Linked DNA regions of Drosophila melanogaster. The protein of the gene in region 1 interacts with the protein of each later gene in a pairwise test. Each region holds a gene or a part of one and is shown in the gene's direction. Other genes may lie near its edges.

The links.
Region 2: the proteins of Acam (region 1) and CG14840 interact in a two-hybrid assay, tested with the Drosophila melanogaster proteins (2 studies listed by BioGRID).

Annotation. Positions count from the first base shown.
Region 1 is NT_033777.3:25,809,839-25,813,841, forward strand, and holds Acam (androcam), read left to right. Parts: upstream 1-2,072; 5' UTR 2,073-2,150; coding exon of another isoform or gene 2,151-2,645; 5' UTR 2,646-2,805; coding exon 2,806-3,252; 3' UTR 3,253-3,296; downstream 3,297-4,003. Other genes in the region: CG5024 (uncharacterized protein), read left to right, coding at 1,367-1,864; CG17770 (uncharacterized protein), read left to right, coding at 2,151-2,645. UniProt on the Drosophila melanogaster protein: May be involved in calcium-mediated signal transduction.
Region 2 is NT_033777.3:14,259,708-14,263,272, reverse strand, and holds CG14840 (uncharacterized protein), read left to right. Parts: upstream 1-2,059; 5' UTR 2,060-2,089; coding exon 2,090-2,992; 3' UTR 2,993-3,065; downstream 3,066-3,565. Other genes in the region: CG14839 (uncharacterized protein), read right to left, coding at 1-812; CG14841 (uncharacterized protein), read left to right, coding at 857-973, 1,046-1,753; MetRS-m (Methionyl-tRNA synthetase, mitochondrial), read left to right, coding at 3,366-3,459, 3,526-3,565.

The DNA of each region.
Region 1 (4,003 bases):
GAAATTCATCTGCATTCTCCATTCAAAATAATACGAATACTACTTACCCGAGCGAATATACGTAATACTATATGAAGTTGTGGTTCCAAAACTGGCATAAAGGGATTTGCACATGAAAACCCTTTGCATGTGTGTCCTGTCCCACTACAGAAATGCAAATTATCCAAATCCCCCAAAGGTCTGTTGCCATTTCGATTGCGGCTCGGCTGTTGCTATATCGTCCTGTTTATGCCTGATTAAAGTCAAACAACAAACATATTCTGAGCTGCATTTACCAGACAATCGTATAAACATATACACATGTGGTCATCAGAATAGAATTTATTAGTTGGGAGATCTACAAATCTGCCAATTATTTTAAGCAAATTGTTTTTACTCTCCTTTAACGCAAACAACTTTTATTTATTTAGTTAGTAGCCCTAATTAATATATTACCTGCTAAGTAATACTTGGAACTATTGTTTTCCATACAAATATATAATCCCGCATCTCTGGCCCGAAAAGTCCTCTCTAATCTATGCAGAGAAATGCTTGACAGTGCCTTGTTGTGTGGCTCAACTTTGGCCCCAATCCTAAATCCTTTGTGTCCTTCGTGGCCAGGATTTGCTTCTCATTACCAAGAAGCCCCCATTGTTCGCTCCACTGGGAGGAGCACGTGTGAGAAAGGTTGATGGCCAGGGACATGGGTTTGTGCAGTTTGGTTCTCGCCTTCTCCGCTCCCAAATTATGCAAATTGCTCGAAATTTTGCATTGGATAATTTCCCTATTTGCCCGTAATGCTCAATAAAAAAAAAAAAAATACAAACACAAAAAACATTTTATGACCCAAGAGACCAACGATGGCAGCAAATGGCTGAGCAGAAAAAATACTGAACAGTTGTATAAATGCACCAACAAAAATAAAAATAATATAAAAACAGAACAAACTGCGACGCATTTAATTAAAAATGTAATTACCCATGCTTTTCAACAGCCACATTGCTCGAAGCGGTAGCCAGAGGCTATGAAAACATTATTCGGAAAATTGTTGCAAATTTAATTGTTAAATCCTGCTATATTTTACTGCGGTGTTACTGCATCACGGAGCAGTTGTAGTTTTTTCCATTTCACAAATTTATCTTACTGAAAATGAGTTTAAGAACCATGTCAGAAAAGAGCGTGGGGCAACTAACAAAAAAAAAATTTTAAAAAACTAACTAGTAATCTTTTGTTGTCAATGCCTTGAATTTTCCACAATTTCAGTCTAAATGGAAAACTGTCAATGAAAAGACAATATTTAAACACAACTATTTTCGAAAAACTAAATTTTAAAATTCATCTTTTCGGGAAATCCAAATTTTAGCCCAAGGTATACTTACAATTTGCCATGGATGACTTTGATTTCAGTAGTCCACCTCCGGAGGTACGAACAGTTCATACCCACACGCTGAATGATGAACAGCTCAAGGATTGTGAGGCGGCCTTCGCCCTCTTCGACGACGATAATGCCAAGGTCATTCCGATCAAGTTATTGAGAGATTGCCTGCGAGCCGTGGCCCACAACCCGCCGGAAAACGAGATACAGGATTATATAACCGAAATTGATACGGATGGATCCGGCGAGCTTTATCTCAGTGATTTCCTATACATCATGTCGAAACGGTACGAGAATTTGACCGTCGAAGATGAAGTTATCCTCGCTTTCAAAGTCTTCGACAAAGATGGATCTGGCTTTATACACGAGAATGAGTTCCGTCAGATAATGACTGAATATGGCGATGAAATGGAAGAGGACGAGATCGAGGAAATGATACGTGATGCCGACGCCAACACGGAACTGAAAATCGACTACGTTCGCTTTGTGACCATGATGATGGAGACGTAACACTCTCTTTGAAAAATAAAAAACATAACCGATTGTAGATCTAATCAATAAATTTCAAAAGCATGGCCAATGGAATCGAAGATCTTGAAATATCGGATACCACCAGTTTGGACTATTCTTTAAAAAAAAAAAAAAGCCAATATACAATAGATAAAATGATAACAAGAGTAGGCTTTTCTTGTTATTAAATTATAAATATGAAGTTGTGAACTAAAGTTTGTCGAAAATTTGTAGTGAGTGTTCAGTGACCCCAAAATTTTCCCACCCCCAACCCCTTCCTTTGGCCATGGATTTCGAATTCCTTACTCCGCCGCCAGAGGAACGGACCATTCGCACCCACAATCTGACCGAAGAACAGGTCAAGGATTTGGAGATTGCCTTTTCCCTGTTTGACGACCAAGACACTAAGGTTATTCCTATAACAAATCTCAGGCAACTAATGCTGTCTGTGGCCCACTATCCCAGTGATATGGAATTGCAGGAAATTCAGGCCGAGATCGATGCTGATGGATCCGGTGAGTTATATCTCAGCGATTTCCTTCACATCATGTCTCAGAGGTACGCAAACATGTCTACCGAGGATGAAATTATAGCTGCATTCAGAGTCTTTGACAAAGAAGGAACCGGCTTAATATCTGAATCGGAATTTCGTCACATAATGCAGAACATGGGGGAGCAATTGACGGATGATGAGGTGGAGGAGATCATCCGTGATGCAAATTCTGATTTGGAAGGCAATATAGACTATGTGCGATTTGTCAGAATGATGTCCACTACATAAGGAAAAAGCAGGCTTTAGGGGTTGGGAACCCGACCTGTCAGTATCAGTATCATCAAAACAGTTTCGGCTCATTCCCTTTCGTAAATTCCAACAGTCTATAGCTCTGCAAGCATTTAAAAATATCTCGATAAATACCGAAAATCTTTGAAAATTTATCAAGATGTCCGAACTAACGGAGGAGCAGATTGCCGAGTTCAAGGATGCCTTTGTCCAGTTCGACAAGGAGGGAACCGGCAAGATCGCCACCCGTGAGCTGGGCACATTGATGCGCACCTTGGGCCAGAATCCAACGGAGGCCGAGTTGCAAGATTTGATAGCTGAGGCCGAGAACAACAACAATGGCCAACTGAACTTCACTGAGTTCTGCGGTATAATGGCCAAGCAAATGCGGGAAACTGACACTGAGGAGGAAATGCGTGAGGCATTCAAGATTTTTGATCGTGATGGCGATGGCTTTATATCACCAGCTGAGCTTCGCTTTGTGATGATCAATCTGGGCGAAAAGGTCACCGACGAGGAGATCGATGAGATGATTCGCGAGGCTGATTTTGATGGGGATGGCATGATCAACTACGAGGAATTCGTATGGATGATAAGCCAGAAGTAGTACAGCTACTTTAAATGAAATAAAAATATTTGGGGTCACTGCATAAAAAAAATCGTGTATTTCTCTTCAAAAAATACAATTTACACTTCTCTGCGGTCTAACTATTTTCGAACACTTTTTAATACGCCCCCAATTATTTCAATTATATTTTTGCGGTGTGCTAGTTTTTCCTTTGCCTAATTCGGAGACCGAGAATTTTTCAAGCATGTCCTGCTCTTAAAAATGTTTGATGAAGGCACCCCATTTCGGTAATTGTGGTTGGTTTAAGGAATTTTCGCCTCGCCTTCTTCAGGTGAAAACTTTCAGCATGAAACACTCGACGTGGTTTTAGTCCGCCTTTTCGTTTCCCTGGCAAGTGGTTTTTGCTTCCACATGCGGCACCTTTGTGGCCAGACGAACAATTTTCCTGTTGCTTAAATTCAATTTGCTTATGCATTAAAATTAAATTTTACTGTGGCCTCAGCGGGCCCGGCTCGTACTCCTTGCTGGAAGCAACCTCTTGGGGTCTTTGGGGCTTGTGTCTGACTTTATAAATATTTCGTGTGTGTTGTGTACGCGCATGTATGAATTTTCAATTTTTTGAACAAGTTTCGGTTTCAGTTCAGACATGTCAAAATGTCAACTTGCTTAATTGAGAGTCCGCAAAACATCGAGCATCGCATCGCATTGCATCGCATTGCATCGAATCGAATCGAATCGAGACCTTAACTTCAATGTGCATTCGCATGGAATAAGAACAAAAGCCCAAGCA
Region 2 (3,565 bases), about 12 Mb from region 1:
CCCCTTCTGCCACGAGAACCGCCTTCACACTCCGATTGATCTATACGCTGTTTGGCCTCTTGCGCTGCTTTGGCGGCACTTAGTGCCGCCTTCTTGGTCTTATCGTAATCTAATCGAGCTTCGCTAAGTTGCCGCATTAGGACATTAACCCGCCGCTGGGCAGCCTCTAATAGTGCCGTCTTGTCGGCGAGCGATTGTTGCCACACTGTGTATACTTGATCTGAGGCATCCTTAATGTCCTTGGCCAACTTGAGGCTTATGGTCAGTGTCTTGAGCTCCTGCTGGACCAATTGGTGCGTCTTGGCGGCAAGCTGTGCATTCGACTCGGCGGTGATCAGCTCCTGGTTTTCCTCCTGCACCACCATTTCGGCCTCCCTGACCTCCGCTTCCAATTGCTCCAGCACCTGACTCTTTCCGAACAGCACTGCTTCGGCAGCTTTGGCCGCAGCGTTTGCCTTGTCTGCGTATTCACCTTTGATTTTATCAGCGGCCTCCTTAACGGCGTTTTTCATATCATCGTTTGCCTTTTTAGCCTCGTTGGCCGCCTGGACGGCGATTCCGGAGGATCGCTGTTTGGCATTAGTATGGTTTCGCGTCTTCTTTGCCGGCGAGTTGCTATCCTCCCCTGACATGTCGCACACGGTTCCATCACCAGGACCACCGCCACCGAGCCCACCAGCGAAACTCCTCATCAGGTCTGAGTCCTCCGTCTGCATTGGCTTTCGGCGGGTTCGATAATGATTGCCAGTAGCGGATGCCGGGAGCGAGGATAACACAATTATTAGCCACATGATCTGAGTGTCTATCCGCATTTTCCGTTGTCTCGAGCATTTTTCCGACTGTCAATCGGATGGAGATGCCATGCCTGTCAAATCCGGAAATCGAGATTATGCTCTATTGCCAGGCAATGTGCTTATTCCTGCTTAGCCTTGCTTGCGTTTCGCGGAGCCACATAATCATGATAAGCGACTCGGTGAGTCCTAACCCTCGAATCTGTGGGTAAAGTCCTAGTCTATAATTTGTTTTCTCATCGCCATTGAACAAGGATCCTGTTGTGGCTCGATTGTATGAGCCAGCAAGCGAAAAGAAGCAGACTGCAAGTGGAGGATCATCGGAAGGGTGTGAAACAAGTTCTGCTGTGCAAAATTCTTGTGGCCTTAGCCAAAAGAATGCCAAGAGCAAGGCTTCCAGCATTGCAATTAAGGCCGCCCAGGACGCCAAGGCGGCCAATGACGCCCAGATGGCCGCCGGAGAGGCAGCCTCACTCCAAGTGAAACAGGATCTGGCCGAGAAGGCGGTCCAAGCTGCTCGAGCCGCGGAGGCAGCTCTTGCTGGCAAGCAACAGATCATGGAGCAACTGGAGCTGGAGGAAAAGGAGGCGGTGGCCGTTGTGGACGAGGTTAAGAACTCACTCCACAGCACACAGGTGAACGCAGAATCTGCCATGTTAGCGTTTTCCGAAGCCAAGATTCAGCTGGACCAACTGAAAGTCCTTTTGGCTGAGGCCACCGCTCAAATGACCAACATTGAAACTTTCGCTAATGGTGCCCAATTGGAGATGGATGAGAAGGGGCAGCTGTTGGAGGCGGCCAATCGGAGAGTGGAGAGCATCTCCAGACAAGTGGTCGCTGCCAGGCAGGATTACGACAAGACCAAGAAGGCTGCCTATAAGGCGGCTTGTGCGGCAGTGGAGGCCAAGCAAAAGGCTCAAAGGATGCAAAGGGCGATTAGCTCTGCATCCTCTTCAAGCTAGAAACGATCAATATTAGCCATTATCACTTAAATTTTATACATATATATATATTTTTGTAAAGTTTATAATGCTACTTTTTTAAAAATAATATATTATATCAATATAATAAAAAATATACTGCGAGCATGTAATTAAATAGATGCATAATACTATTCATAGCTGCTGGATGTAGGATATACATATATGTTGTATCCATCTAAACAATGAAATTAATGAAAGGCAAATATCCGAGGTAGTTTTTCCGAATTGTTTTTGCTAAGAGAAGGTAATTTTTCAGTCAAACCAGGCTTTCCGAATGGAGTCAGCGTCGAGTGTTTCCAAATATTTGATCGGAATATGCCTGGCACGAAAGCGCTGCTCCTCGTCCTGCTACTGCTGCGTGCGTTCCCTCGACTGGAGAGCTACCACTACCGACCCGCCGAAACGAATGACAAGCAATGCCTGTCCGCATTGTACGGCGATGCCAGCATCGATGGAACTGGTGGGGCGGGCGGTTTGGGAGGCGGATCCGAAGGCTGTGGGGAACCTAATTCGAAGAAAGGGGTTGGCTGCAGCAGCGGAACCGGCGTCTTTGGTCGCGGAGATCCCAAGCAGAAGGCCTCCAACATTGCCCAAAAAGCCGCCCAGGAGGCCAAGGCAGCCAGCGATTCGCAGATGGCAGCTGCCGAGGCGGCTGCATCCCAGGTCAAAAACGAACTGGCCGCCAAGGCAGCTCAATCCGCTCGTGCGGCGGAGGCGGCACTGGCCGGAAAGCAGCAGATTGTTGAACAGCTGCAGCAGGAGATGACCGAGGCGGATGCGGTTGTCACTGAGGTGACCTCGTCCCTACAAAACACCCAAGCGAATGCCAATGCCGCCGCATCGGCTGCCCACGAGGCCCAATCGCAACTCAATCAGCTGAAGAACCTTGTGATAGCCGCCACGTCCAATCTGGCCAATATCGAGAACGTGGCCAGTGGAGCGCAGCAGGAGCTGGCCGAGAAGACGCAGCTCCTGGAGGCTGCCAAGCACCGGGTGGAGAATCTAACCCGCCAGATGACCGAGGCCAAGACGGACTTCGAGAAGACCAAGCAGGCGGCCTACAAAGCGGCCTGTGCTGCAGTGGAGGCCAAGCAGAAGGCACAGAGGTCTCGTCGAATGACCCACCGCCAGCAGGTGCGCTGGGGTCCGCGCAAGATGGCCGGAAAGTTTTCCGGCGCAGGCAGCCAAAATCTAGCACCGAATTCGGGGATCAACTGATCTTTTCTATATTTTGTTACGTTTCGATTTCGGTTTAATAAGTTTCCTATTAAAAGATAATGGTTTTATAACTAAAAATTAAAATGTTTCACGATAATTTTGTTAGTATTAAATAAATATATTTAAATAAGTTTAATTTGCATGGAAATATTTGATTTATTCTTTTGAATTTAATTTAAAATTTTAAGCCGTTAAATTTTGCGTCTACGCTGTTAAGTGTGCATCTATGTCAAATGAGACTGTTACGTGCACTGTTAGCCGAGTGATGGGCAGCACTGGTGGCACAGCTGTTCAATGTTATAAAATCAACCGGCAAATTGTTTAGACGTTTTTTTTTTTTACTTATTTGTATATTAAAATAGCTTTTAAAGTGATGCTTATTAGAAGAATTAAGTGCCTCAGATATTTGGGAACTCGCTACAACAGTTCGCACTATGTGACAACTCCAATTTTCTATGTAAATGCAGGTAAGCATTTTAGACCAAATCAGTCAATATTACGGATAATAAAAAGAAATAATTTTTAACAAATAGCTCCTCACATTGGACACCTGTACTCAGCGGTCATAGCCGA